Linked DNA regions of Astyanax mexicanus. The protein of the gene in region 1 purifies or fractionates together with the protein of each later gene. This does not show direct contact. Links are inferred from orthologs where the notes say so. Each region holds a gene or a part of one and is shown in the gene's direction. Other genes may lie near its edges. The genes, in order: ppp6c, ppp6r3, ankrd44 and serine/threonine-protein phosphatase 6 regulatory ankyrin repeat subunit C.

The links.
Region 2: the proteins of ppp6c (region 1) and ppp6r3 purify together in Homo sapiens (affinity purification with mass spectrometry; 10 studies listed by BioGRID and IntAct, with this or other methods). This does not show direct contact. The link is inferred for Astyanax mexicanus from reciprocal best matches to the Homo sapiens genes PPP6C and PPP6R3.
Region 3: the proteins of ppp6c (region 1) and ankrd44 purify together in Homo sapiens (affinity purification with mass spectrometry; 5 studies listed by BioGRID and IntAct, counting the BioPlex papers as one, with this or other methods). This does not show direct contact. The link is inferred for Astyanax mexicanus from reciprocal best matches to the Homo sapiens genes PPP6C and ANKRD44.
Region 4: the proteins of ppp6c (region 1) and serine/threonine-protein phosphatase 6 regulatory ankyrin repeat subunit C purify together in Homo sapiens (affinity purification with mass spectrometry; 6 studies listed by BioGRID and IntAct, with this or other methods). This does not show direct contact. The link is inferred for Astyanax mexicanus from reciprocal best matches to the Homo sapiens genes PPP6C and ANKRD52.

What each region holds. Positions count from the first base shown.
Region 1 is NC_064408.1:18,384,822-18,392,085, reverse strand, and holds the start of ppp6c (serine/threonine-protein phosphatase 6 catalytic subunit), read left to right. Parts: upstream 1-4,247; 5' UTR 4,248-4,332; coding exon 4,333-4,407; intron 4,408-6,888; coding exon 6,889-6,984; intron 6,985-7,099; coding exon 7,100-7,165; intron 7,166-7,264.
Region 2 is NC_064417.1:10,376,444-10,384,226, reverse strand, and holds the start of ppp6r3 (serine/threonine-protein phosphatase 6 regulatory subunit 3), read left to right. Parts: upstream 1-4,767; 5' UTR 4,768-4,897; intron 4,898-5,279; exon of another isoform or gene 5,280-5,489; intron 5,490-7,783.
Region 3 is NC_064418.1:3,467,357-3,474,940, forward strand, and holds the start of ankrd44 (serine/threonine-protein phosphatase 6 regulatory ankyrin repeat subunit B), read left to right. Parts: upstream 1-4,569; 5' UTR 4,570-5,046; coding exon 5,047-5,073; intron 5,074-7,584. Other genes in the region: sf3b1 (splicing factor 3B subunit 1), read left to right, coding at 537-809, 1,517-1,733, 1,850-2,008. UniProt on the Homo sapiens protein: Putative regulatory subunit of protein phosphatase 6 (PP6) that may be involved in the recognition of phosphoprotein substrates.
Region 4 is NC_064431.1:14,604,874-14,611,953, forward strand, and holds the start of serine/threonine-protein phosphatase 6 regulatory ankyrin repeat subunit C, read left to right. Parts: upstream 1-4,074; 5' UTR 4,075-4,249; coding exon 4,250-4,276; intron 4,277-7,080. Other genes in the region: coenzyme Q-binding protein COQ10 homolog A, mitochondrial, read right to left, coding at 1,529-1,626. UniProt on the Homo sapiens protein: Putative regulatory subunit of protein phosphatase 6 (PP6) that may be involved in the recognition of phosphoprotein substrates.

The sequences.
Region 1 (7,264 bases):
AAAATGTTTACTAAAAATGGGATAAGGCCTGTTCTGCTGCCTTTGGCACTGGGTGCCTTTACAATGTGCAAGGCATCATGAAATCTGCAGATTACCAAAGTTTTTCTGGTCACAATGTTGGGCCCATTGTCAGTTTTTTGTGTTGTTCCAGTACACACAAAGGAAATAAACACGTGTATTACAAAATGTGTAATTTTACAATAATAATTAATTTTCTGGTATAATTTTAGGGGTGCTAATACTTGCTTTCAGCCATGACTGTATGTCCAGCAAATCATCCAGACTTTTTTTACTTGATCTGGTTTGTGACAACAGCTAAATCTACAATCCAGCTAAAGTTGAGGAACGTTGATATGTAAATACATATGTTATTATGCAAATTTGAGAAGCTGTGGAATTTGATATGTAACAACTGTAGGACTGAATTAGGTGCTTGGAGGGAATTGGTACTTGCTGTGAGTCAGTCAGAACATACAGAGGCAGGATGTAAAGTTAACAGCTGTACTGGAACTCCTCTTCACTACAGCATAGCCACACATAGCATTAGTTGGAATAAGGAATGCACCAATATGAGAACTCTGGGCTTATACCAATATCTAAAAATACATGGGTACCTATCTGCTGGTGCTGATGTCAGTGATGATATACACATTTATAACTTACAGAGAGATGAGACACCCAAGAAACGTTATAACTTTAAAACTCATAAAAAAAAATAAAAATCAACTTAAATCAATACATTTTAAAATAGCACGGCCAGCGCTGACCAATTGAAGTAGTGCGGCCAGTGTTGCTTGGTCCTTTTTGGATATAATATATAGGTCAGTAAATAAAGGTTTAAAATACTGGCCATATTGATGATACTAAAAAAGCAATTATCAATAATTCCCATATCTTTGTGCATCCCTAGTTTGAGTGTGTGGCTAATACACAAAGGGGGAAATAGACTATGTATAAAAATTCAAGGCTGATAAACAATTCACAAATTGTGAAAAAAAACCAAAACATAAACAAGTAGATATAAATCTAGGCAAAACAGCAGCAATAATCCCAACAAACAGAGAGTCAGTAGCACACTAGCATTAAATTAAGGCTTTATGTAGCTGTGCTAATCTGGCTAACAACACAGAGTACTTTTATTTAAGGCTAATAAGAGAATAATAACAGTGTTTTACTTATCCTAAAGGTTATATTAATAGTATAAAGAAAGAAGCTGAGAACTCTTGTGAAGATATGAACTTACTTTACTCTCATGAACACAGCCAAAGCAGGTTTTCACTGCTTTGTTCTCTCTGTGATTAGTACTGGCTAACGCTAGCTAACTGCCCTCAGAAATACAGCACGACTGAGCTCTCTAGTGGTCATTCTAACAATTACACAAATATGAGTAAGAGGTCAAGCCTGAGGCCTAAATTGTGTTTAGAGAGCAGTCTCAAGGATCAGAAACAAAGCCAATTTCAATCCAGTTTAAACCATTCACTGCTATGTTTAATCACTAACTTTTAAAATGCTTGGATGCTTGTGTAAAGAGTAAATTCCACAGCCCAGAAACAAGGTATATCAATTGTTGCATACTGCTGTTTTAATGCCTTTGTTTTAAGACTTGTTGGCAAAGTCTTGTGTTATGATTGCTAGAGTTCTACATATGTTTGTGTTATTTTTATATATGGTTCTGTGTTCTGTACTTTGACTATGGATCTGTCTGTATTACAGTATATCCTGCTTACCTGTGTTTTGACCCCCTCTTGCTATGATTATAAATATTGTATTGCCCAAAATAAAGGTATTCAGCACATCACAGCAGCCTCACTCACACTCACAAATAAATATGCATTCACATTCACACTGTTTTTTTACTTATTTACACTTCTATGTAGGGCTGGACAATATAGACTATATTATTATTTCACAATATACTGATACAATATAATTCTGCACATGAATATAACAGTATAAAAACAGCTGATAGCTGGCAATATGGTAAAATATTACATTACAATATGCAAAGATATTTTCATAATACACAGTGCTTATCGCAGTGTTTTGATTTTCGAAAAAGGCATCAGTAGTGGCAGATTTTTATGAACTGCACAATGCAGGTTAACTGTATTTAATTACATTATCTGTGTGTCAGGGTTCTTTAAGCGCCGATGATATCCCTGATATGCTCATTAAAGCATATTGTAATATTACACATTTTACCAAGAACATTTGACATACATATGCATAAAACTGTAAATAACTGAGTTTGCTTTTCACAGTTATAATAATATATATATATTATAATAATATATATTATAATCAAAATAGGGATTACAATGTGTTGTTACAAAATGACTCAAAATGTTTCCAGTACAGCCAGCAGGTGGCGCAGCTCTGCAGTTTCCCTCCCTATGGTACAGTGTGTGATTTCTGTACGCTGGCTGGAGTTGCCAGGTTTGTGATTTCCACACTTTTTTTCGCTCAACCATGAGTGTATTTTGACCCTGATTTGAACATCTGGGAATCCAAGGACAAACAGGCCAGAACAGTAGACCAGTTGTTCCCATCCCTGTTCCTGGAGGATCAACCTGCCCCGCACCTTTTAGTGTTTACCCTGCTTCTTGATGAGTGTTAGTGTGAAGGTGAGTGCATACCCAGCTGAAAAAAAACATCCTGGTTGTTACTGTTGCAGGAGCTACCACTATGTTCTTACATGCTGACCAGTATGACCAGTTTTATGATACTAATTGACCAACATGACTACCAGTATGATCACCAAATAACAAAATTAGCCAATCAATTTGACCAGCTTGTCGATCAGCTTAGTCAATTTAGTCATGTTTACAGTCCAGCCAGTCCATCAAACTTAAATGAAAGGTACATCATCACTGTCCATTGAAAAACAAGTATCTCCAAAGTGGCTACTTTACAGAAGAAAGATAAAACCTACTTAAATTTCAATGGAAGTCAATGTAAAAATAGCTTATTTCAGGTCATTTTGGAGAATTTCTATTGATCCATTCAAATTCAGAAATGTTGACACGGTGTAAGGGACAGTGTGTGTGTTCAAATTATGTAGTAAACTAGAAATCCACAAAAATGGAGGTATAGGGTATGTTTCAGGTTAAATTACCATCTTTTTAACCAACTTTACAATCAAGGACCAGGTGAAACAAGCTCCAGCAAAAGCAGGGCATACATTATTTCACTGGTGTAAAGTCGAGCAACTAATGTAATCACGAGTAATGTAATTTATGAGTAAATTACTAAAACAAACAGAACCTGTGTGAATAAGTGATTAGTTGAGGAGAGTGAGAGAGAAAGGTAAACTCAAGGTGAAGTTAATGTTAAGTCTATTGGCACTTTTTTCCACTGTGTGGTCCCTGCAGTATTTGACTCTATGACCTGCTTTTTGCTACCTGGTACCCCCGAAATCTCACAATTTAGCTGCTGACATTGCAAAACATTCACTATGTTACCTTTAGAGCAACAACACAGCAACAACAAAGGAACTGCTAAAAGGATTGTGTTTCCAAAGCCTGCAATGTGAGTGGCCAGTCAGAACTTTAAATGTTTCAGTATTACATTTACATCTCTAAAGTAGTGCAAGTACCATGCAGTGGAAAAGCACCATAAAAAAGTGTCATAGGCACAAAATACATTAACTTTGCATCACTGCAAGTTCTCCAGATGCCATTTCTTCTGCACATACTGTATATCCTCGGCCACAATTTGTCTAATATTTGTGACCTTAATAGTGTAAAACATTGTCCATCAAAACCACCCTCAAATATGTATAGTAACTGGTAAAAGTTTGGACACACCTCTTCTTGTCCAATGTGTTTTCTTTCATTTTATATGATTTTTTCTTTGTAAATTTAATATTAAAGACTATATTAAAGCTATATAGGAGCACATACTGAATTATTCTGTACACAAAAAGTGTTAAACAAACCAGAATATGTTTTATACTTTACATTCTTCTAAGATTCTTTTTTTTTCATTCAGTGTATTTTCTTTCCTTTTTATTATTTTTTTTTACATTGTAAATTTAATATTGAATACAATATTAAAGCTTTACAGGAACACATGTGGAATTATTTTGTAAAGAAAAAGTGTTAAATAAATACATGTAAAAAACGAATAATATTTATTTATATGTGCGTTATTTTATTTATACTCATTTTATTTGGGTGGGTTTTTAACTGCTCTTTAGGAGTGGTGGATATTTGTACCGGACCTGGCAACCCTGCCGCTGCTGCGTGTGTTTAACCGACCTCAGATCAGCTTCTCCGGGGAGGGAGGTAGACGCGCTTCCTCTCTGCCCTGCGATGAGCTGTTGTTCTTAAAATGGCGCCGTTAGACTTGGACAAGTATGTTGAAATTGCGAGACAGTGTAAATATCTTCCAGAGAATGACTTAAAGGTAAGTGTCCGCCTGTTATTTGGGGTTTAATTTAAGCTGTAGAGGTGTGGAAGCGCTCCTCGGCCTCGGTTAGAGGTGAAGAGGACTGCTAAGCTAAATGCTAAAGTTGCTAGCGGGGGTTATTTAGGCTAGGCTAGGCTAAGCTAGTTCAGTATTAGAGCTCAGGAAGCTCAACTAGCTTCAGTTAGCTTGATAGTTAGTAACTCTAAAATGTGTTTAACCATCTGTATTTGCTCGGTATCATTACTATTGTATATAGTTAGCTGGTCAAACTCATTTAGACAGCTAAACGACTAACCTGCTAGCTTACATAGGCTAGCTAACATTTACCACGACGTTGCTAGCTAGCTTAGCTTAGCTAACTGTTGGTGCCAAAATAACCAGGTTTAGCGAACCAAACCCAGCAACGATTTCTAACGTTATTCAGTCTCTTTCCACGCCAGCGTATTTGCACTGCAAATGTAGAATCTCTTCACCTTCATAACTCTATGGTCTCATTTTTATTAAGTGTTATTAGCCAGCCTGCAGTCAGGATCGAGCTGCGCTGCTGCTGCTGTTAAACTGCAGTGTAATGAAAACCGAATTAAGCTACAGTTAACCTAGGTTGGCTAGTTGACGGTTTCTGACACACCTTCTTTGGTCGTTTGTCTCATCAAATGGGGATGCAAACTGCAGCAGTCTCTTACTAAACATACAGCTACAGTTTTATTTTACGCCTTTATTTTATCTCTGTCTCCTGTTGATAATATCGCTCATAGACATTAGAGCTAAGTAAATAAGACATTCAGGAGTCCAGCCCTTCCAGTTCTTATGAAGATGCTAAAGTGTCAAATAATGCGGAGTGAGCACTTAATCAATTTACTGTTTTCAACTAATGTGATTTTCAACATTTGCTAATCGAGATTATAGATCTTTACATATAGAACCTGCAAGCGGGAATCTCGGTAGATAGGCCTATGCTTCTGTTAAGAAACATGTAGCTTAATATACATGTATACATTTTTATATACATCTCTTACGTTACCAGTAACTTAATTTTCATTTATTTAATTCATGTTTTCTTTAACTGAAATATTAGAAAGTTGGGTGTAAACCTTGTGTAATATAAAAGCTGTTTTTAAGTTTGCAGGGAGCTGCTTGCTATTCTTAACAAAAATGACTTCCCTTAACATGCATGTTTGCTAATTTCATATAAAGCTCTAAATGCTGCTGTTTGTTTCTCTTTTCTCACATATGTAAAATATTTAATATATTTAATATTTTATATATTTAAGATTTTATTTTACTTTATATTTATTTATTTTTTACAATATCACAGAAAATCTAAATTTTATTTGTTTATCTTTACAATATCTCTCAGCCCTAGTATCAAGGTAGAGAAATACATTTTAGGGTCATAAACAATTTCCCCAGTTCAATAAGTAATTGAATAAATGCACTCATGTTAATAGGTTAAATCTTTCAGCTATTTTAGTAGAACCTTTTAGTAGAAACAGTTCTAATAAAAAAAAATCTATTTTACAGTCCTGTCTCTCATTTTAGTAATTACCTCAATTTAGAGTCTATACTTTACTTACATTAAAAAGTGATTATGATTTATGAAATCAACAAGCAATGTATTACATTAAGGTGAAATTGCTCCACAATGTTAGGGGGAATATATACATTGAATCATATAAAAAATAATAATTATCTTGTCAGTATATCAATAATGTATTACATCTTAGCAATAAATGATATTGAGCAGATACAATCTATATTTGGGAGAGGTTGTGGAAAATGAGATCTGCGAAAAATGTTCCTCTTGCATAAAACAGTTAAACAGTAACTTGCATAAAATTACTCGGCCTGCGATTGTTAATATTACACATGCTTATATTGTGATGACAAATCTGCAGCAATGTTTTGTGCAGCCCTATTTGGGAATGATTTAATAAATGGAGGAAATATTTTAATTCTCAAAACATTTCTCTTCTGTCTTTATACTTTTGCTTTATACTGTACTGTTAGGCTTGCACCTGTTTGTAGCTGTGATGTCTATCTTAATTTATTTAATATTAGTTTGTTTTCTTGTTTGTTTTATATGTGATTTCATGGCGACCTGCCTGAAATACCATAGCAGTCAACATGCCACAATATAGCAGTGTTTACTTAGCAACTCCTTAGCAACCATCAGGGACATCTTAGAAACCACCTGAAATACCATTGTAATAAAATATAAACAGCCTTGCAGAAAGTGAGGAAAAGTATAAGCTGTTGAGGAATTTTGCTTTTCTTTCAGGAAATGCACTTTTCTAGTTAAAGTTTGTACTGCTGCTCTGTCACAGAGACAGGTGCATTAGCATCATGCCTTACAGTGTTTTTCATTATAATTGCAATTATTTGTCACTACTCATTTAACTTATCATAAGAAAAATGTTTTGCTAAAAAGACTGTGACTCCTGAACAGTTTGTAACATTTATCTTTGTTTGCTTTGGCAGAGATTGTGTGACTATGTATGTGACCTGCTACTAGAGGAATCAAATGTACAGCCAGTATCCACTCCAGTCACCGTTTGTGGGGACATACATGGACAGGTAGGTTCTGTTAAGAAACTGTAATAACAGTGTTTTTTGGATTGTCCAGTTTTATAATGTTGTTTTGAGTGCATTCTTAAACACAGTCTTGTTTTCTCTGTTTTATTTTTCTTAGTTTTATGACTTATGTGAACTCTTCAGAACTGGAGGACAAGTTCCAGACACAAACTACATTTTCATGGTATGTTTACATTGGAAATGACGGCAATGATTTGCTTTCAGTTATTTTTTTGGAACCTGAAATAAACTGCAAATAACAAAATTGCTGTTTTAATTGATT
Region 2 (7,783 bases), on another chromosome or scaffold:
ACCTGCTGGTGTTTGGGCTGAAGTGCTGTGTACTCTACAGATGTTGCACCTCCTGCTGGCCAAACCCAGTGATTTCAACATGACTTTAGAATAGTCTCCTTTACCCTGTTACTTTATGTCTCTGAATACGAAACTTTTTAATCTCACATACTTCATGTGAATGACTCAATCTGAAAAGATCTAAACTGATTAACAACACCTACCCTTCTGACCAGGGGGCGCAGTTTCTCAAAAGCATCTTAGCATTAAGAATATTTAAGAATCATTTTAGTTATATGAATCCCAGATTATTATTGTTGATGTGTTCCTGTAATAGTTCCATCCAGAAAAAAATTACTCATGCTGTTGTTTTGGTAGTATTCTGTGAGAGAAGTATCCCTTGGAGAAGTTTGAAAGCAGATGGAGCAGTTAGAAGAATTAGAGAGGGGTTGCAGCAGAGGTGGAAACAAGTCACTAAATTGATTTAGGACTGACAATCACCATATATATTTTTTTAAATCTTTGCCATAAAGCAGTAATTTAATCTGCATTTACAACTTAAAAGTCAACTTAAAGACAGCGGTAGACATGTTAGATTTTGAAAATGCATGGATCTTGGCCTGCGTGGTGTTCACTTTCTTTTTATAGAGTTAATTTTTAAATAACAGTTAAAATCTTACTTTAATTTACTGTATTATTTGGGGCAATCTACAGTAATAAAACACCTTCTTGTAGGGAGTCAATTCCAAATGAGTTCAATAAAAAACATATAAGATCCTTATCCTACCAAGTGTTTAAAAACATATTCAGGAACTATTCCCAGCACACCTGACCAGACTAATAAACCAATTAACATGTCCTTTCTGAGCTGAACAATAAACAATCATTGAGGGTCTCCTTCTGCTAAAATCCGCTTTTTTCATGTTCTTTTTGAAATACTATAGATCTCTTTGACTTGTATGTGCATGCTGCATACGAAACTGTTCTTTAACATACATTGTCTGCAGAAGCTAGTAAAAACATTTTTCAGAAAAACGAGTCGATCAGGAAAAGCACTGTGTCTACATCAACACATGAGTTCATTGCCTTGCTAGAGTCGAGCTGCACCTGTAAGGTGGTTACAACTGAAAGTTTTAGTCAGCCGGGTTCACATCCTCGTCATCAACCATGTTTAATATTAATATAAGTCTTGAGTCTTGCAAATAGTGACGTGAACGATGTCAACAACCAATGTCTACAGGAAGAGTCAAAACAATATTTCACCTTAGTGTTTAGAAAAAGAACACATTTTGCAGTTTACATTTTGCAGGTATTATATGGTTCTTACTTTAACATGTACTGTATTTTAAAGTAATTATATTTATAGTTATTTTATTTTGCACTACTTTGTCTTATTGTGCAGTATTATTTTTAATAAACATGTTTAGTAAATACACATTTTGCAAGAATGATGATCTTTATTGCATTAATTCTATCTATAGCATTAAAACTGTGATTCTTTGTTTTACAAGGTTGTAGCAAAAAAGGGGAAAAAGAAGCTTATAGACAGAGTTGGACATAAAATGTATTTCATTAAAATGATCAAGAACTAACAGTATGGCAGAAAAAAATAAACTGATGGGGACAAATGTGGTGAGTCTCTGATAAATCACAGTATTGACTGTAATTTAATTATTTGTAATTTAATATGTAATATGTATTGTATGTAAACTCCACCAGAAGCATGATGGGAAATAATCTCAGAAAGAATCTAGTCTCAGTCTTGCAGTTAGTGATACCCTGTCTTTGCAAAATCTTTGCCTGTGACTATTCTGTGACTAAAAAGTCTGTGACTTTAGATGTGAGAGGGGATCAGACTTTAGCCTGTTAAAAGTCTTTGTAGAGTATTTTCAAAGTCGTGTAATGTATGGACAGCTTTAGACTGGAGGTCACTAATTGCAAAACTGCAACTAGATTCTTTCTGAGATTATTACCCATCATGCTTCTGGTGGATTTAATATACAAAACATATTACATATTAAGTTACAAATAATATATCAATATTGTGATTTATCAGAGACTCACAACCTTTGTCCCCATCAACAATTTTTTTTTTGCCACACTGTTAGTTCTACATATTTTTAATAGAATTAATTTTGTGTTCAACTCTTTCTATAAGCTTTAACCTTGTATAGCAAAGAATCAGTTTCACTGCTATACATTTGCCTTTGTTTTAGATAGAATTAATGCAATAATTACATTATTCTTGCAAATATTGTATTTCTTAAAATTGTTTGTAACAAAACTAACACTGCGCAATAACACAAAATAGTGCAAAATAAAATAACTTTAAAATACTGTACATATTAAAGTAAGACGCATATAAAGTCATTAATTGCAAACCAAAATATTATTGCCTTGTGGCATCCCCATCCCTCTCCAATTGGTTGTTAACATTGTTCACGTCACTATTTGCATGAGCCAAGTCTCAAGACTTGCGATGATATTAAACACGGTTGATATCAAACCCGACTGATTAAAACGTCTAGCCACCCTACACTGAACGATCAGAGAGGGTGGTCTGGTACTTCAGGTATTTCCTTCAAGAAACTCCTGTGTGGGTGATGGATGAGGGGAGCTAATTACCTTTAAAATAAACAAATAGTCTCTTATGGCACATTTACTTCAGCGTGAGGTATGCAGAGCTGCACAGTGCGACAGGAAACAATGTCATGAAATCAATTAATTTGAACACTTGGAAATAAAATAATAATAATAAAAAAATTAAAACTGCGTTGCCAATTATTTTTGTGTCTTTAAGCCCAAGTCCCAATCCTAGTCAGTGAAGGTAAATTTAAAGTAGAGTCAAGTCTTATTTTGTTGAGTAAAGTCCATGTCATGTGTCTCAAGTCAATGCATTGTAGAGCTTCAGGAAGTGCTGTGTGTAGAAGAAAGCACTTACCAAGGAAATGAAGGACCTGGGAGAGTTACACAAACGAGGGACAGGGAAATCCATTAATTATCCTTTTAGTGCCTGCACCTTTGGCAGATGGCTGCATGACACAGGACTGCATGCACACAGACCATTCCTGTCAAGCCAGACTATCATAGAGTGATACTGACTGTGAAAAAAGCACTGTGGTCATTGCCAATACTGTTTTAAATCACGTGGCACACATCCAGGACAGCTGGTGTCATAGTGTAGGATGCATATTCCTAACGTGACAGATCACTTCTGATCTTCATTACAGGCAACCCAACATTATGTGAACATGGTCTTGGAACTGGTGGCCTGGTGCAATATTCCAACAAGACAATGATTGTCAGCATTCTGTTGTCATCTCAAGCGCTTGAAGACCAGCCACATCACCAGAATTGATGCCAGACTGAAGATATTTGGTTTTGTATGTGTCACGATACCAGCACTCCACCCCACCTTAAAATGTGCAGGAAAATATTTAAGCTGCACGGATGGATCATTGTAGGATACCATTAAGAACAGCTACAACTTCATGCTGAAACGTCTGTCATGTTGAGTTACACATGTTACACACTACTTCTGTATGAACTATTGTCAGTATAGTCTACATTTTTTATATTTTGCTGTTCCTGGTAGCCTTTGTTATGCAATCTGACACTTCCACCTTGGTGCTAGTATTTTTTTATGATACGTATATATTGACACATTTGATATATTATTAAATGACATAAGAAGTATACATATAATATGTTATAATATAGATTCTTCGAGGTAGGCACTACCTGCTTGGATGACAGCTTTGCACATCTGAATTGTCTCAGAACAGCTGTTCTGAACCTATCAACAGTTAATTACTTGAATTTCTTGTCCTTTTAATGTGTTTGAGAGTATTAGTTGTGTTGTGAAGAGGCAGAGTAATCCACGTTATGACAAGAACTACTTAACTACTTACCTTATCAATGTATCAGTCATTAAACTGCTCCTTACATTTCAGTTTCTGTTTTATTTTACTGGTTTATTTGGATCCCTGTTAGCTGCTGCCTGCACAGGTAATAATTTATAAAAAAAAAAAAAAAAAAAAAAAAAATATATATATATATATATATATATATATATATATATAGATTGTATATATATATTATATAAAATATATTATATAAAATAAATATAATAAAACATATATATATATATATATATATATATATATATATATATATATATATATATATATATATATATATATATATATATATATATATATATATATATATAAAATACTAAATTCTAAATGTAAGTTTTTACCACGACAATCTGCGTGGTTCTGATGTAAAGTACAGTACAGCTCATGCACAATCATATTACACCACACCATGCTCCGGTCTTATCACATTGCACGGATCTCTGAACCACATCTAAGGGTCAGATGTCAGGTCCAATTTGCTACACCACACTGAACCAGCCGGGCAGTAGCTGCTGCGCTTCATGGCATAAATGATCCTTGGGACAGTCTGACCTATATTTTACCAGTGGGGGGAGGAATACATCTCCTTATCAGTGAACACGGATAATAAAAAAGATCCTGAAGTGAATCACAGTCAGAGTGTGAATTTAAACATGACATGATCTTATATCACATTCTGGTTATTATGACTCCTTTCATCACACTGTGCTGATAAAAAGTCCAACAACAGAGATGTAGCTCTGCCTGCTTCACCCGTTACAGCAAACACAAGCAGCGCGGCCACAGACGGCAGCGACGCTGATTGGCTGAGGGCCCTGTCGGTCACACTGACGTCGGGTTGTTGCTAAGGCGTTGAGAACAAGTAAGACAGAAGAACGAAGCGAATCGGAGTTTGAGTTTTTTCCTCTTTAAACGTGTTTCTAATCCTCCCTTTCTGCTGTAAACCTCTGAACATGTGGGTACCTGAGAGGGGAACATGACGCGCACTCGATAAGTCGGTGAGACGTTTTATTCGAATAACATTTTACACGAAACGTTAAAACGTAGTTTGATGCGGGTTCAGCTTTTCTGTGTTGAGGGCGGGATTTGTGGTTGAAAACGCAGCCAATCCAATCAGTTCGCAGATTTTTGTAGTACGCGAAAGTCTTATTGGTTGAATATAGCGTGGGCGTGCCCAATGTAGCAGATTACTATAATATTAATTTGATAGCGGTGAATTAAAATAGCAAATTAGGTTCAATGTTGGTTAAGTTTTCTCCAGCTGAACTGAGCCACAGCGTTTGACGTTCCTTGAATTTCAGTGGCCTGTGTTTACTGACGTGCGCACGGTCCAATCAGCGCTCGGCAGTCGCCTTTGATTGACATGTACAGTCAATGCAGTGGGGGAAGGGGACGGTAGCTCCATCTTGAAGAGGTGCTGTGTGTGTTTTTCGCGCCTGTCAGACTCGGACTGTCAACACTTTAACACCAGTATCTTCATCTTTTCATCGGTATTCTTATGTTTAAACCTTTTATAAGCGACTTGCCGTTTTATCCGAGGAGTCTCCCAGCTTCATGTCGGGGTCCTGCTGTGTAAAAAGCTCTTAATTGGTACGTTTCTCTCCGTTTGTTCGCTATGAAAGAGCGTTAGCTTAGCATGCTAAGCTAAAGCTAAGCTAATGCTAAAGCTAACCGTTTCCGCTCTGCGCAGTCGGACTACGCGGCTATCGCGTTTTATTACATTTTTCCAACGTTTACACACGTTTAACTAAGTTGTATGGTCCGTTCTGAAACAGTATCCTGATATACGTGAACTTTAAAACCCAATCAGCTGGCTGAGGCGAGTTATTGTTAACGTGCTAACCAGCGTATTGCGTTTCTGTGGACGAGTGCTAATAGTAAAGCTAATGCTAGCGGAGTTCTGCGCTGCCAGTGCCTAAATTTTGATTTAGCTTAGCATAGGCAGCTAATGCCGGGCCTGTAATGGAGTAACTTTTGAGAAACGGATTCATAAACAGCACATTAGAAGGTGTTTGACTTTTGTTTAGGGGATTAGATTGAGTTATTGGGTTCTCAATTACAATTGATCGAATTAGCTAGCTAGCTTACTAGTTAGTTTACCTTAATATACTTTAATCCGGTTAGCCGGCTAATGGCGAAGTTGGATTGTTTTTGTGATTTATAGAAACTGTAGTACAGTGGAACACAATAATATAAATGAATAACAACAGATCAGGGCTGAACAGTCCAGCTGTGAATTATGATCAGCTGTAAGACGATCAGACAGCGTGTAAATACAGGGGTGCGTTGTTCCTATTGCAGTCTTCGCAGTTGATGTTCCTACAAAGAAATTCAGAAAACTCAGTAAATTTTTCCCAAATTGCCAACAGAATGCCTCTGTTCCAGGAACACCGTTTTACTGATCAGTTTGATTGTCTATTTTGTGGGGAAAATCTACGAAATGATTTTGAACTTGACTGACTGTTCGTGGGGGGTTGGTAAGGTGTCGCTAGATGGTTGTTATGGTGGGTGCGAAGATGTTTTTTGCTCTAAACATTGAAGTCCAACCACGTCTGGATAAATGGTAGTTAGAGACGGGCGATATATCGTTATTTTATTTTACTGTTGTAATACATTTTCATATCAATCTAATCATTGCTTAAAGAACACTAATCCAACTGTACTTTTCATTACAGAGATTGTAAAATCCTGTTTAATTGGATGGTGAGCAGCAAAAATTTAAGAAGAATCACTGTACTATGCATTAAAAAACAAATTAATAACAGAATATCAGAATCTGCCACTGGTTGTGCATTTTGTCTGCATGTCAGATTACGATAAACACTGTTGAACTGTTATGTGAAAATGTCTTTAAATATTGTGATAGAATGTTTTACCATATCACCCAGCTCTCAGTGCATTATTGCATACGGTGGAGGGTGGAGACTTCAATACTGTTCATATGATATATAGGAAATTGTATCATTTCAACAATAATTAAGAAATATATTGTGATCTAGATTTTTGCCATATTGTCCAGCCCTAAATTAAGTGCAAATTAATATAACTGTCAGCTAAATTGTAGAGTACCAAAACTCTACAGAGCTAATCCAGAACTCATCCATGCGCAATGGAGAGAAAACACCTGCAGACTTTAGTTCTGTGGTGCTTGTAAGATGGTACCTGTTGTGTTTTAAAGTTTATGAGCAAAATTTTAGGGCACTCTTATTTGTGTGTTTTGACCACACAATTTGAATGCTTGTGTAAATATACAATTACTTTTGCACTAATCTGAAATCTGTAAACAAGAAGCCCAAATCAGTTTATCTTAGGTTTATTTAATAGTATATGGCTGATTTTGTCAATGTGGTTTGAACTACACCTGTCAAACACTTTGGAGTTGTTTTATAGGTTCCAGAATAAGATAAAATATATTAGTCATTTTAAAAACACATAGTGCTTGTGACATTAGAATGTCGACTCCCTCGAATTAATGGGCTCTGCTCACTAATTGCAAACTCTAAACTGTTTAGAGTGGATCATGTCAGACCAGCACAAAAACAATTTAGACACACCTGAATGTTTAGATGTGTGGCCATGCTCATTTGTATTACCACTGTCTATTATATAAATTTTGACCATTCGTCTTTTCTCCAGTTAGTAGTGTCACTCCAGACCAGTATAATATCAGGTTAGGATTGGTAAAAGTCATTATGTTTCTTCTGAAATGATTCTTAGTTTTGCACTTTATACCGTAGATTTTATTCATATTAAATGTAGGGGTTTTGCTACTATACGCAATGTTTGTGTGTAATGCATTAGAACATAATGCTACAAATGTTTATTTAGGCTTAGTCTGATAAAACTTCCCTTTACTTTGTTTACGAGTTACTGAAATAATATTG
Region 3 (7,584 bases), on another chromosome or scaffold:
TTTCTGGGAGTCCTTAATATGAAAAAATGATGTAAGTCTGTGATGCACGAGTCACAAACATTGTTGATGCCATAAAATAGCCAATATGTTGCAGATATGGCACAAAACACAAACTGAGTACTCCCGTCTGTCTTTGCTTAATGTGATAAAAATAAACGACAGGTAGTTTGAACACTGACTTCTATATTAGCTGTGGTGGGTTAAACTACTGCAGAAAGCATGATAATGTGAGTTTAAACAGGGTTAACTCACACATTACCATAAATAACATTAGTTAAAGTAGTAAAACAAAACAAAATGCATTAAAAATATGCATTAGATCAGGGACCTTACCAGTAGAAAGTACAAATGGCATGACAAAAAATATATATATAATAATAATTGTGACTAATTGGTAAAATAATAATCAGATTAGTTGACTACTAAAACAGTCATTAGTTGCAGCCCTATTTTAATATATATTATAAAAAAAAAAATATATATATATATATAATAAGCTGTTCTGGTAATACTAATGCATGCTTTTCTTTCTCCAGGCCTCACGATGTGCTTGCTACACTACTCAACAACTTAAAAGTGCAGGAACGGCAGAACCGTGTGTGTACAACAGTCGCCATTGCCATTGTGGCAGAGACGTGTTCACCGTTCACGGTTCTTCCGGCACTGATGAATGAATACCGTGTCCCAGAGCTCAACGTTCAGAACGGTGTTCTCAAGTCCCTCTCCTTCTTATTTGAATATATTGGTGAAATGGGAAAGGACTATATCTATGCCGTCACGCCGTTATTGGAGGATGCACTGATGGACAGGTGAGCCCAGCACAAAGAGTACTGTTTTACAGTGTTGATGTAGACCAGAAGTTCTGGTCTTGGAAAATCAAAGTCTTTCAAAGGTTTTTTGTTAGGAATTCATGCTAAGTAATTGGTCTTTCTGCAATATATATTACAATATAAAAAATATAGAAATTCTTTAAATTTGATTGTTGGATATAATCTGCCTGCAAACATTCCTTAAGAAGCAAGCAGCGTAAGGTTCAACATACATCAACATGTGTTGGATATAATTTGACATTGTATTTTGTCATTGTGCAATGAAAAACGATTATCTTCAAACCAGCAACTTTACAGGAGAGAGAGATTTGTTTTATTATTATTATTATTATTATTATATATATATTTTTTTTTTACTTTCAAAGGAAGTCAATGTAAAGTGAGTTTATTTCAGGTAATCCTATGTGACTCTTGCACATGTGAACATTGGCAGTGCTGAAATAATGTGTTGTGCAGCCCTAATTTCTACAAATCCTGTATATAATTAATTTATAATGTATTTACTACTGACAGGAAACGTACTGTTAAAGGTATAGGTAGTGTACATTTAAGTGGTTTCATTAAGGTTTATTTGGTGGTTTTGGTTAAAAAAAAAAAAAAATAATAATAATAATCCAAATAATCCTAATCCATATTAAATTTGTGCTTGTTCTCTCCTTTTAATACGCTTTCCATGTCCTTCACAGAGACCTTGTGCATAGGCAGACGGCGAGCGCTGTAGTGCAGCACATGTCCCTGGGTGTGTATGGATTTGGCTGTGAGGACTCTCTGAACCACTTACTCAACTACGTTTGGCCTAACGTCTTTGAGACGTCGCCTCACGTTATTCAGGCTGTGATGGGAGCTCTGGAGGGTCTCCGCGTGGCTATCGGGCCGTGCCGTATGCTGCAGTACTGCTTACAGGTATGACTCTGTTCTCTGCTCTTTTTTTACTGTAGATTTTTATTTGTAATTTCCTGTTAAGCGAATCCACTGATCGTCTTCAGATAACTGATATCTTTATTATTTCCCCACATTAGGGTTTGTTCCATCCTGCGCGGAAGGTACGTGATGTCTACTGGAAGATCTATAATTCCATCTACATCGGCTCCCAGGATGCGTTGATTGCACATTATCCCCTCGTCTACAACGATGAGAAGAATCCCTTCGTCCGCTATGAGCTGGAGTACTTCTTATAAATACCTGTACACACCTTTTTCATGTACACTCTTTCGTTTCCCTGCATCTTTGTCTCCCATAAGCCATGATTTGTAGAAATAAGTCAGACTATTTTTAGTTCTGTTGCTTTGCAGCTACATTCATCACACATGCTGAGGTCAGAATAATTTTTAATAAACAACTGAAAGTGGGAAAAGCGTGAAACGTATAAGAACTTTATTATTTTGGTTTTTAAAAAACACCTAACTATTGGCAGTGAAACGTAGTGGCACATTCACTAAAATGTGAAGCCTTTAGCAGGAATGTCTGGACAAATTGTAAAGTTGTGATTTTCCTGTAGCGATCTGTCCTGCTTCTTTTCATCATCCCTCATCTGTTCTTATTTGGATGTTGCTTACTTTGGCTGAATAAACATTTGTGTATTAAAAGTCAATTTGTGGTTCAGTCTTGTGCTTTTGAATGTGATTGTCTTATTGTTTTGAAAGTGCATATATGCTGGTAAACCAGTGTTTTGTATTTTGGACACTGATGAGTTGATCAACCCTTTATTCATCAGCTTGTGCTTTAAACACATATACAGCTCTGGAAAAAAATAAGAGACCACTTCAGTTTCTGAATCAGTTGCTCTAATTTTGCAATTTATAGGTATGTTTGAGTAAAATGAACATTGATGTCTTATTCTGTAAACTACAGACAAGGTTTCTTCCAAATTACAAAAAGATAGTGTAATTTAGAGCATTTATTTGAAGAAAATGAGAAATGGCTGAAATAACAAAAAAGATCAGAGCAGTTTTAAGAGTTCAAATCAATATTTGGTGGAATAACCCTGGTTTTTAATACAGTTTTCATGCATCTTGGCATCATGTTCTCCTCCACCAGTCTTACACTCTGCTTTTGGATAACTATTCCTTTACTCCTGGTTTGATGGCTTGTGATCATTCATCTTCCTCTTGATTATATTCCAGAGGTTTTCAATTAGGTAAAATCAAAGAAACTCATCATTTTTAAGTGATCTCATTTTGTCCCCAGAGATGTATATATTGGTCAACCAGCAGCACACCAGCACTGGGCCAACTTAAATAGCGAGTTTCGCACAGTGTCACGTAGTTAGTGAAAGGAAACGGTTTTAAATGGGGTCGCAAAACATTTACAGTGACCTGACCCAGACTGCTGTATGGTAAAAGAGGAAGAGAAGAGATTAAGTTTCATTAGTTTTTCCAAATATACAAACATTGCTCCAAAAGCAGAAAGAGGATGACTGCTGGCCTACTGCTGCACAGGCATTTCTGCCTTGTGGCTATTCTGTGCACTTCCTCTTATTTATTTTTTAAGTTTAAGATTATTTTTAATGACACGTGTTCTGAGCAGTGCTCTAAACTTGGGGAACACTCTTTAGTGTTAGAAATGTAGAAAATGTAGCTAAAAAGTTTGCTTTTCTGTTTGTGTTTTTTTGTACTATTCCTGAAATTCGAATTGTGGGGGACAAAAATGGAAAAAAAAGAAAATTGAAAAGAAATTGCCCTCACTTGATTAAATGGAGCACAACTAACAATATAAAAGTCTTAAGCACCCAAGTGAGAAATAAAGTGATTAATTGATACAGAAAAACTGGTCAGTGTATCGATTAGCAGTTTAATTCCCTCACTGTATCAAGCTAAATTCCAAAATAGAAAATTGGGAATAAAACTTTTTACATTTTATTTTCCATTCAGGAGAGTAAAGAAGAAATTAGTTTTCATCCAATTTTTAAATTATGGAGTTTTTCATTTCAGCCTTTTGCAAACAGAATTAAAAAAATGAAAATGTAAATCTTTTCTTAATATTTGTATTTCTTTTGTATTTTTGTTTTGTTGTGACACAAATCTGATGTTATAATCCAACTCGCAAAATGCAAAACTGGAAAAATCAGAAAATAAAGAATTTTTTTTTTTTCATTTTTCCTGATATTGCGATTGTGAGGAGTGGAAATGAAAAAAATTAAATTTGAAAAAAAAAAATGGATGAAAACTTATTTCTTGTACCCTGCATTACATACAAATTATGAGTTTGCATTTAGTTTTAAAAGGTCAGAAAATTAAATGAATAAACGTTACAGTAATCACACTGACCCATCAGTGAGGCAAAGCTCCTTTAGCATGCTAGTGCTATCATTGTGTGTGTGAGTGTGTGTGTGTTTCTGCGTGTTTTTGTACACTTTCGGGACGTGATGTCCTCCTTACAATGCAGAAAACTGAAGAACTGGAAGAGTAGCGTATAATATCAGAGCTGAGATGATTGATCTTGAATTAAAAAGGCTAAAATAGCAGATTTGCACATTTTAAGGTTGGGATTTTCAGTAGTAGATGTGTAAATAGAAAAATAGCTAAACATATGACAGGAATGGGACCCAGTGTCCCGACAGTGTATAACAACGAACATGTGTGTGTGTGAGTGCGTGTTTTTGTCTACTATGCAAAGATCTGGAGACCTGGGAGAGTAGTGTGTGTGTGTGTGTGTGTGTGTGTGTGTGTGTGTGTGAGCTGAGCAGAGGGAGGGCCCTCAGTCTGAGGACTTCCTGTTTTCTGAGAGCATCTGAACACACACACACACAGGCAGCAGCAGGAGAATGCGTGTGTTGAGTGTGTGTGTGTGTGTGTGTGTGTGTGTGTGTGTGGTGAGCTGAACACACCCGAAGTGTGAGCTGAGTGTGCCCTGATGCTGCTGCTGTAAATGCGGATTAATTCCGGCATCGCCCGCCTCCATCCCTCCAGCCCCGGCTCGTCTCCAGCTGCAGCGGCTCGCCCCGCTCTCGCTGGACGAAGATAGCGCCCGTGGAGCGGCCATCTAGCCCCCGGGGCCGCGAGCTGAAGCAGAGCCTAGCGGTTACCGCTGCTGTACCGCCGCCGCCGCTGCTGCTGGATACTGCGGGTCTCTCTGCTGCACTGAGCGGAGCGGAGGATCAGCAGCTGCTCCTTTCTTTCATTCTTTCTTTTCTTCCTCTTCTTTTCCTCCAAATCTCCAGCCTTCACACTCAGGGCTCGGGGGAGGCTCGGATGTACCGGTTCAGGTGACCCTCGATATGGCTGTTCTGAAGCTCGTCGATCAGGTTGGTCACTTTTACTGAAATCTGTCTGAATATTTACACTGTTTTACTCTGTTTTAGAGGCTGAAACCTGCAGAAGTGCTCAGAGTTACCCAATAGGAAATGACCTGCAGCTCATTCCGCCATTCTCTACACAAAACTCACTTCTAAAATCTCATTTTTTTTTACCCTAAAATTGGCCCTGCGTGTTTAAAAAGCTCAATATCACCATATTTATGTGCAGAGAAAATGTTCAGTGAGTCACTTTTCCGACTCTGAGTCGAGTCTCGAGTCGTTTGCGAGTCCTGATTCGAGTCTTTGATTCGAGTCCGAGTCGTGACTCTATCTCAAGTTCTTGGTCTCTAATCATGAACACTCAAAAAAAAAGCTTTAGCATTCTGTGTTATTTTTACAGAATGCATTGAATCCAGAGTCTCTGATTCAAGTCTCTAAATTGAGTCTCTGATTCGAGTCTCTGATTCGAGTCTGAGTCGTGACTCTGTGTCAAGTTCTTGGTCATTAATCATAAACACTCAAAATTAAGCCTTAAACTAGAAATTGTGTTAGTTTTTACAGAATGCATTAAATGCACAGCACACAGTACTATCATTAAATATTATACAATTATAAGTGTAATACTTGCTTCAGTCTAGGGTCCAAATTTTTATACTATTTTATGCTAATCTGAGTCGAGTCTTGAGTCTCTGATTCGAGTCTCTGATTCAAGTCAGGTTCTTGTTCTCTAATCATAAACACTCAAAATTAAGCCTTAAAATAGAAATTGTGTTAGTTTTTACAAAATGCATTGAATACCCAGTACACAGTACTATTATTAAATGTTATGCACTTATAAGTGTGGTTAATACTTATTATCCTACTTAATAACCTATCTCTGTTAGTTATAACATATTCTTTATAATGCGTGCACACGTTTGCACACATTTTGACCTTTCACAGTCTGAGTTAGTGCCCTTGTTGCTCAAGTCCAACTTCAGTCCAAATCCTACATCAGGTTTGCAGCAGCGATGTCACAATACTTTAAAAATCTTTCCCAAGCTTTAAAAAGCAGTTTTACTTTTTAATAATAATTTTATATTAATTATATTGTCAAAAGGCTTCAAGGTTTTTGGTCTCAGAATTAGGCCTGGATTGTAATGCTCTAATGCTGTAATGCTCTATTGTAACTCTACATGAAACACTACATCATATATCATGACTTCAGTTATAATGTGCAGTCTGGGATGGGATGCTGACGCAGTCTGACGTTTCTCAAGGATTTAGACTTCAGTCTAGAGTACAAATTAGTGCCGTTGTTGCTCAAGTTCAACATTGGGTTTTCAGCAGAGTTGTCACAATACTTTACTAATCTTTACTGAGCTTTGAAAATAAGTGCTCCAAACAAAAATGGTGCAGACTGTTATATATTATATTTTATATTCTTCCAAATTCTTATATTTTGGATTTCCTTTTTCCTATTTAGATTTAGTTTTTTGTTGTATTTTTGTCTTTATGCAAACCTCCTTTGCACCTCCTTTGCTGTAATGGAACCATGCTCATCTAATTTCCATTAGGCTCTTCCTCTGTTCTTTTAATAAGGTGTTATGTTGTTGGTATGGATGATTTCAGTGGGCATGTATAGATGTTGTGACTCCAAACACTGGAGGCTAAAGGTTATGTTTTCAGCTAAAAGCAGTGTGTCATGCAGGTTGACAAATACATAGCGTCTAGGAGGCTGTTTTGCTTTACAGAGCAGAGTATAATTATAGTAGCCTAATAGTAAAAAGCAGAGACATTACAAATGATCTATAACAAAAAACAGAACAGCTGTTATTGAGGGTAAGGCATTATCTACACACTGTTTTATTACTGAGCTTAATTAAGTTACTACTAGAGCTGGTCAGTACATTGAAAACATTGATAGGATGCTTGTAAAAAAAGACGGTCCAATCGATGAACCCTAGTGGACATTGAACACCTATAATTCACCATGTAGTTTTAGTTTAAAGATTCAGTTTCTTGAGATTCTACAGTTTCTTAGAGGAAAACCAATTTTCTATCTGTTAATTTGACATGTATGATATTACAGACATTACAGTGTAAGGAAATTTAATTAACTACTTTGTTGAATTCTGTTCTCTATAACAACTACTGTATAAAGTGATCTGGATTTTTGCACGTATTGGAGAGTGAATAGGGAGGGCACAGCTTCAGACACAGCTCTGGACTTCTGAAGGCAGTAGTTAGATGCATCAGGTGGGGTGAATTAGGATTGGATCCAAAGTCTGCAGGAGGGAAGTCTTGAGGAGGACGATGCATTCCAGCTCTCCAGGCTCACAAACTGAGATTCCTTTCTACACAGATGTGTAGATGTGTGGATGGTGCTTATATATGTGGTAGTGGTTGAAGGGTTGTAGATCTTGTGTTTGTAGGCCATCGTGTTGTTTCCCCTTTCCTTAAGGATCTGGGGGAAGCCCCCCCCTTGCTGTGGAGATGTGCGCAAGCGCAGTAGACATAATATGCCGAAAATCGTTTCCT
Region 4 (7,080 bases), on another chromosome or scaffold:
AAAAGCATCCCCAAAGAATGATGTTTCCACCGCCATGCTTCACGGTTGGGATGGTGTTCTTGGGGTTGTACTCATCATTCTTGTCCCTCCAAACATGACGAGTGGAGTTTAAACCAAAAAGTTCTATTTTTGTCTCATCAGACCACATGACCTTCTCCCATTCCTCCTCTGGATCATTCAGATGGTCATTTGCAAACTTCAGACGGGCTTTGACATGCGTTGGCTCGAGGAAGGGCACCTTGCGTGCACTGCAGGATTTTAATCCTTGACGGCGTAGAGTGTTACTGATTGTTTTCTTTGAGACTGTGGTCCCAGCTCTATTCAGGTCATTGACCAGGTCCTGCCGTGTAATTCTGGGCTCATTCCTCACCTTCCTCAAGATCATTGATGCTCCACGAGGTGAGATCTTGCATGGCGCCCCAGACCGAGGGAGATTATCCGTTATTTTGCATTTCTTCCATTTTCTAATAATTGCACCAACAGTTGTTGCCTTCTCACCAAGCTGCTTGCCTATTGTCCTGTAGCCCATCCCAGCCTTGTGCAGGTCTACAATTTTATCCCTGATGTCCTTACACAGCTCTCTGGTCTTGGGCATTGTGGAGATGCTGGAGTCTGACTGATTGAGTGTGTGGACAGGTGTCTTTTATACAGGTAACGAGTTCAAACAGGTGCAGTTAATACAGGTAATGAGTGGAGAACAGGAGGGCTTCTTAAAGACGAAGTAACATGTCTGTGAGAGCCAAAATTCTTACTGGTTGATAGATGATCAAATACTTGTATTTCCCACAATAAAATGGAAATTAATTATTTAAAAATCATAGAATGTATTTTTCTGGATTTTTGTTTTAGATTCAATCACTCACAGTTGAAGAGTACCTATGATAAAAATTACAGTCTTCCACATGCTTTGCAAGTGGGAAAACCTGAAAAATCAGCAGTGTATCAAATACTTGTTCTCCCCACTGTGTATATATATATATATATATATATATATATATATATATATATATATATATATATATATATATATACACATACATACATATACATACACACACACATTTATTTTTTTCCCATTTCTGAAAGGTGGTAACCCTAACTACACCCAAGTCCATTTCACACAGAATGTCTCCTTTAATGTTGCTACCTTTATTTGATAAATGAAATGTGAGTGACCGTAATAGTGTTAATTATAAAATTGCAATCATCACAGGAACAATATACTGCATATTAAAATATACATAGTTATCAGTGTGGCTATTAAACTAATGTTTTGTTGTTGGATTATTGTTTCTTTTTAGGTTTTAATCTGTATTGCTGTATTAACTGTGCTAATCTCTTCTTAACTTATTTTCTTGCTTCTTATGGGAGTTTTGTTTATTTTTCTGAGGTTTTGTTAATCTGTTTGTGTATGTACATGTACATCACTTTAAACTACATTTTAAAGGTGCTATATAAATAAAGATGGTTATTATTATTACTATAATTATTATAAACAGTAATATTATATTACTGAGTTTCTGCTCACCTGATTGGCTGGTCTGGTCGGGCTCTAGATCTTACAGAAGTAAAGGAGATATTGATGAACTCTTTGGACAGGAGTCGAGTGCGCAGCTGGAGAGCCATTTAGGTAGAATTTCCTCTTTCTGAAGCAGAAAATAATCAGACATCCCCAGCAGAACCGGCTCCCTGTGGACCCTGCAGTGTCCTCCAGCTACCAGCTAGCCTTAGCCTGTGTTTACAGCCCGGGACCACACAGCTCTACAGGCTTCAGGTGGTTCCGAATCGTCCAGAAGCTCTTACAGTGAGGAACAGCGGAGAGGTCCAGAGTGGAAAGAGAAGCATGACTGAGAGCAGAGAATGAAGGAGCTGAATTCACATTTTAACTGTTTACTCAGAACCACAGAGAGAGCTAACAGCTAGCAGCTGGGCTGGGCTGGGCTGGGCTAACCCGCAGAACCAGCGGCGAACCGAGCCCCACGCCAGCCCGCTACAGACTCCAGCCCAGTAACACAGAACCGCCGGGCCCGCTTTATCCCACAGAGCCGGTAATAAACGAACTGGAGCCCAGAACCGAGAAACACAGCGAAGTTCAGCAGCTGCACTTCAACCCGCTGATCATACAGACAGCTCACAGCCGCTAGCGGCTAACGCCAGGCCCCGCCCACAACCCGTGACGCAGGGCACACGTCGTGGAACACGTGGCTGTTTTTTTTGTTAGTTTCATTCACTAAATTTAGACAAACATATATATGACATTATATTTCATTCAATGAGTGTAAAAAACTAAGAAAAACAGAAGCTTGTGTTCTTATTTAAGCATATTCATATAAAAATTCATATAAAACCACCTAAAATGACCTGTTCCCACCTTCTAACTATAAACACCTTCTAACTCCTCACTTTATGCACATCAACTGGTGTTCTCTGTCTATTGTGTTCAACTGCACTACCTACATTCTCCATTACACACACACACACTAAAGTCTGTATTTTATACTTTTCCTTTTATTTTTTATTTTATTGTATTTATATGTATCGTTATATTTTATCTTTTTGTAACTTTGTGTACTATACATACCTGCTGCTGGATGTCTAGAATTTCACCTCATGGATCAATAAAGTATCTATCTATCCATCTATTTATCAATATTTACCGTGAAATATAATTATTAAAGTCCATCAGAGATGTCATTTTTTGCATAGTTGTGTGATCTCCCATTTATGCTTTTAAAATATTTTTTCTTAATAAATCTATAATATTAAGGCTAGTTGTTGTTTGTTTATTTAATACAAATTTAACACAAATTTAGAGAAAATCAGTAGAATGTGCTAAGTGTCCACATGCTGACATCCCAAGTTGCAAAAATTAATTTCAGGGAGGTGCCCCCGGACCTGGACTTGGACACCCCCAATCCCCTGTCCAAAAAATAAATAAATAAATGTTTATATATATATATATATATATATATATATATATATATATATATATATATATATATATATATATATATATATATAACCCTCTTGGTTTTGCATGCACTTCATTAATATGCACACAAGGGGAGCGCTTTCTCTCCCTCTCCTTCTCTTTCAACACGCGATTGGGGAAAAGTCGCTTGTGTGCACATGCTAGATTCTGGGAGAGAGATTTTATCGGACTTGCAGGCATCAGGGAGCCGTTATTGATATGCGGTAGACTCCCACGTCTTCCGGGAGACTTGGGACATCTGCTATTAGCATAGCTGCCATTTAGATATTGTTCATGTTTTCGCTAATCCTATGCTAAGAACTTGTTCCTGTTACTTTCAGTCCTTATACTAAAAACATAAATAGTAACAGAAATAAGTTCAAGTAACATGAGTGAATTCTTTTGTCATATATATCAATTATTTGAACATGCAGTCAACCATTTATTTAAAATAAAGACTTTCTTAAGAGGAAATCAAAGGAATTAGTGGACTTGCTTTCAAACATGCTTTTTTAAATGTCACATGAGTTTTGTAACCATCTTCGGCTTACAAACCTTGTAAAACATTATGTAAAGCTGCCTGAGATGGACCAGTAAATTATATTTTTTTCTGACAAGAAAGGCATATCTTTTGTTGAACAATTTTCTGCACGTGCAAACAGCTGTACCCAAAACTGCACTGTTCAGGAAATAATGTTTAACCATTATTTGTGTTATTTAGAAACACACTATAAGACCATAAGTACTATAAATACTATGAGCACTAAGTAGTACTATCGTAAATACCAATGCTTAAAGCAACAATCATTGTGTCCAGTTCGTTCCCTAGCTAGGTAACAAGATTCACAATGCATTCTGGTTTAGCAGTCAGCTCATGCTGTTAAAAATTATGAAAATCCACTTTTCGATTCGGACAATCAGGTTTAATGAGACACTTTTTTATATTTTATTTTAAAAGAGAATTTTAAAGATTTCTAGTGTATGTTTGACACTAATGTTTTACTTTAACACTAGAAAAAATGCAATAGAGTGGACAATGTGGGTTTGGGCTCTTTAATTTTGAAGCAGCTCTACATTGGTGTGGTTCCGCCGCCGTCCCAGTAGGGGGGGTTGTTCTCGTAGCTCTGCTGCTCAGAGCAATAAACAGCGGCGAGTGTGGATGGAGGTGCTGCTAGCCTTTACCTTCAGTACTGATCAGAAATAACCCGAAATAACCCGCGCTCGCCTCTCTCCACCCCGGCCTGATGAAGGAGCTGCGCCCCGGCTGATTTTGGGGAGATGGGAATATTAAGCATTACAGAGCAGGTGAGTCTGGACGCCCCGAATTGTCGCGCAGATATTTCTGCACGGCTTTCTTTATCCCCGTTTTCTGCCGATTTGTGCTACCCACCGAGATGTGTTTGTAGCAGCTCTGCGCATGCTCCGGCTGTTTTTTTTTACGTAAATATATTGTATTTTTCGTAGAAATACTGTTTTCTCGGGTCAATCATACATGTATATTATCTAACCTTACAGTTATTATTTGTTTTAAAGTAAAAAAGCCGACTCCAGTCAAATAATACAACAAAAATAATCACACCACTTACATTTTATTTACCCTAGTACAATGATTTTTGCCAGTGTAACTTTCATCCGTTTACCAACAAATATTCCGAATGTTTGTGCATACATTTGAAAATAGTAAACTGTTAACGTGTAAAGCTTCATTATTTATTTTTTTTAAATGTAATTAAAAATATATATTTTTTATCATTTGCCAGTGTTCTACTTTATTTCTGCCTCTCTGCTTTCTGCAGCTCGTAACACAAAATCTAATCGTATAATCCAATCAACATTTGTTACAAGATGAAAAAACAAACAGAAAATCGAGTAAATAATCATTTTTACTTGTTTTAAGTGGTTTAGTCTACTAAAAGTGTTTAAACATATTGGCAGATATTTTTGCTTAATTATTGAAATAACTGATCTTTTCGTTCTTGTTAAAAAATAAAGCATAAAACAAGCGACAATATTTGCCGGTTGAATAAGACAAACTCAGTAGATTAAGTTGGTTAAAAATAAGCTGAATGTTTATAATATTCTGACAGCAAAGCAGACTTTTGAAATTTCAAATATTTAAACTAGATTTATAAGGATTAAACTAAGATAAGCTAAGATTTCAGTTTATGCCCTTAACCTGGAACAGTTGAAATATTCTAGCTATTATTTAATTAGAACAAAACTTTCGCTATCTATAAATATACACGGTGGTAGCATGGTTTGACATGGTAGCACAAATCGGCAGAACACCCTGCTTGTCAAAAGGGGTGGGTTCAGTGATTAGGCGACTAAGGAGAGACAGAAATGGCCTTTTTTCAGTTTTTAAGCTTATTTCTTATAGATTTAGATTAGGAACAGATTTAAATTGAAACGTATTGAGTTTATATTTATAATAGAGTGCACAAACTATCACAAATAGTAGCCATCCTAGCTAACGCTACATTTACTGCATTAATTTAGCCTAGCTTAGCGGCTAACCTGCTTGCTAGCTCTCAGCCTAAGCTAACGATAATGCTAGTTAGCTTAGTTAGCTAACTGAGAGAAACATTTAGTGGTTAGTTAGGCTAGCGTTAGCTAACTGGTTTATCTCTCACCTCCTATAGATAAGAAACATTTTAGTTTTAATCTAAACCCTGAACTAAAACTAAACGCCACATTAAATAACGCTACATAATGCATATTCTCTCAAATTGGCGCCCAGCGTAACTAACGAGTAGCTCTACTCATTAATTAGCTAAGCTAGCTGGCTAACAGTCACTGTACCCTGGCTTACGTTTTAGATACGTTTCGCTGCTTTAGCTGATTTATCTAACGCGAGCTATTTTTCCTTTATGTATTTATTTATAAAATTCTCTATACATTTCGTAACATTTAGTCAGTAAAATAGCCTCGCACTGGCTAAGGTAACTTAAGTTAAATATCTAGTTAGCTAGCTTGCCAACTAGCTTAGCAAGGTTTTGCCAAGTAAATCTAAGTTAAATTAAATTATTAATTAAATTAAGTCTAATTAAATCTAGACTTAGTAAAATCCAGGAAATTTTGGTAATTATAGAAACTTATTTACCAGTCAGCCCATAAATTCTCATTGTATAAAATAATATTTAACGGTATATACTTCTAGCGTTTCCTCATTAAGCTTCCTCCTAAATCTTTACATAGCCTAGCTAGTTTTATGTAAAATGTATTAATTATATTAAATAGTTTCCTCAGTTTAACTAAAGCATCCACTCTTAACTAAGGGGAAAATGTATTCAGTCAAATCTCAATTTTGTATTATTATAGTAAATTAACAGAAGTGCAAAGTCCATCTAAAGAAAAAAAAAGTCACAATAATTACAATATTGACTTATTGTACAGTCAATGGACATGACCTCAATAGTGTTTGAAAGGAATGTCCCAAATATATTTTTGCTCTCAAGTCTAAGTTGTATATGCATGCTGCATATGATATTGTTCCTCATCCACCATTATCTCTAGTGCCTAATAAAAATGAAAAGAAAAATTAGTAAATCAGGAAAAGCACCTTGTCTACGTCAACTTGTGAATTAGTATTCATTGGCTCGCATCAGTGTTGTATGCTTTGCCCAGTAATTTAGAGCTAAGGAACAAATGGTTAGAATTTGTCTATGGAACACCACCAGCGAAGTACAGTTGAGAAAGTAGGTGTATTTTTTTTAGAACAGTTCTGTTTACACTAGTTAAAAGTAAAAATCCACCCCTGGGTTTTGTTTCAACTGCCTGGTGGTGGATTTTTACTTTTTGGACCTGGACTCTGTTTTACAGAGACTCTAAGACCAGAGCAGTGGATGTACTGCACTTAGCAGGGCATTACATGTGTTGTATATGACATTGCAAAAACTGTAATTAGTGTAAAAATAATTTAATAATAATTTAAATTTATCCGCCTTTTGGTGTTGCAGTGCTATTGCCCAATCAGAGGCGATATGTTAGCATGTATGAATATTCATGAGCAGTAGCTGAAATCCTATTGTTTCTCCCGTTCGCTTCTCCAGCGGACTAAAGCAGCGTTATACTGGATAACTGGAGCATTTTCCCCCAAAAACAGCTGA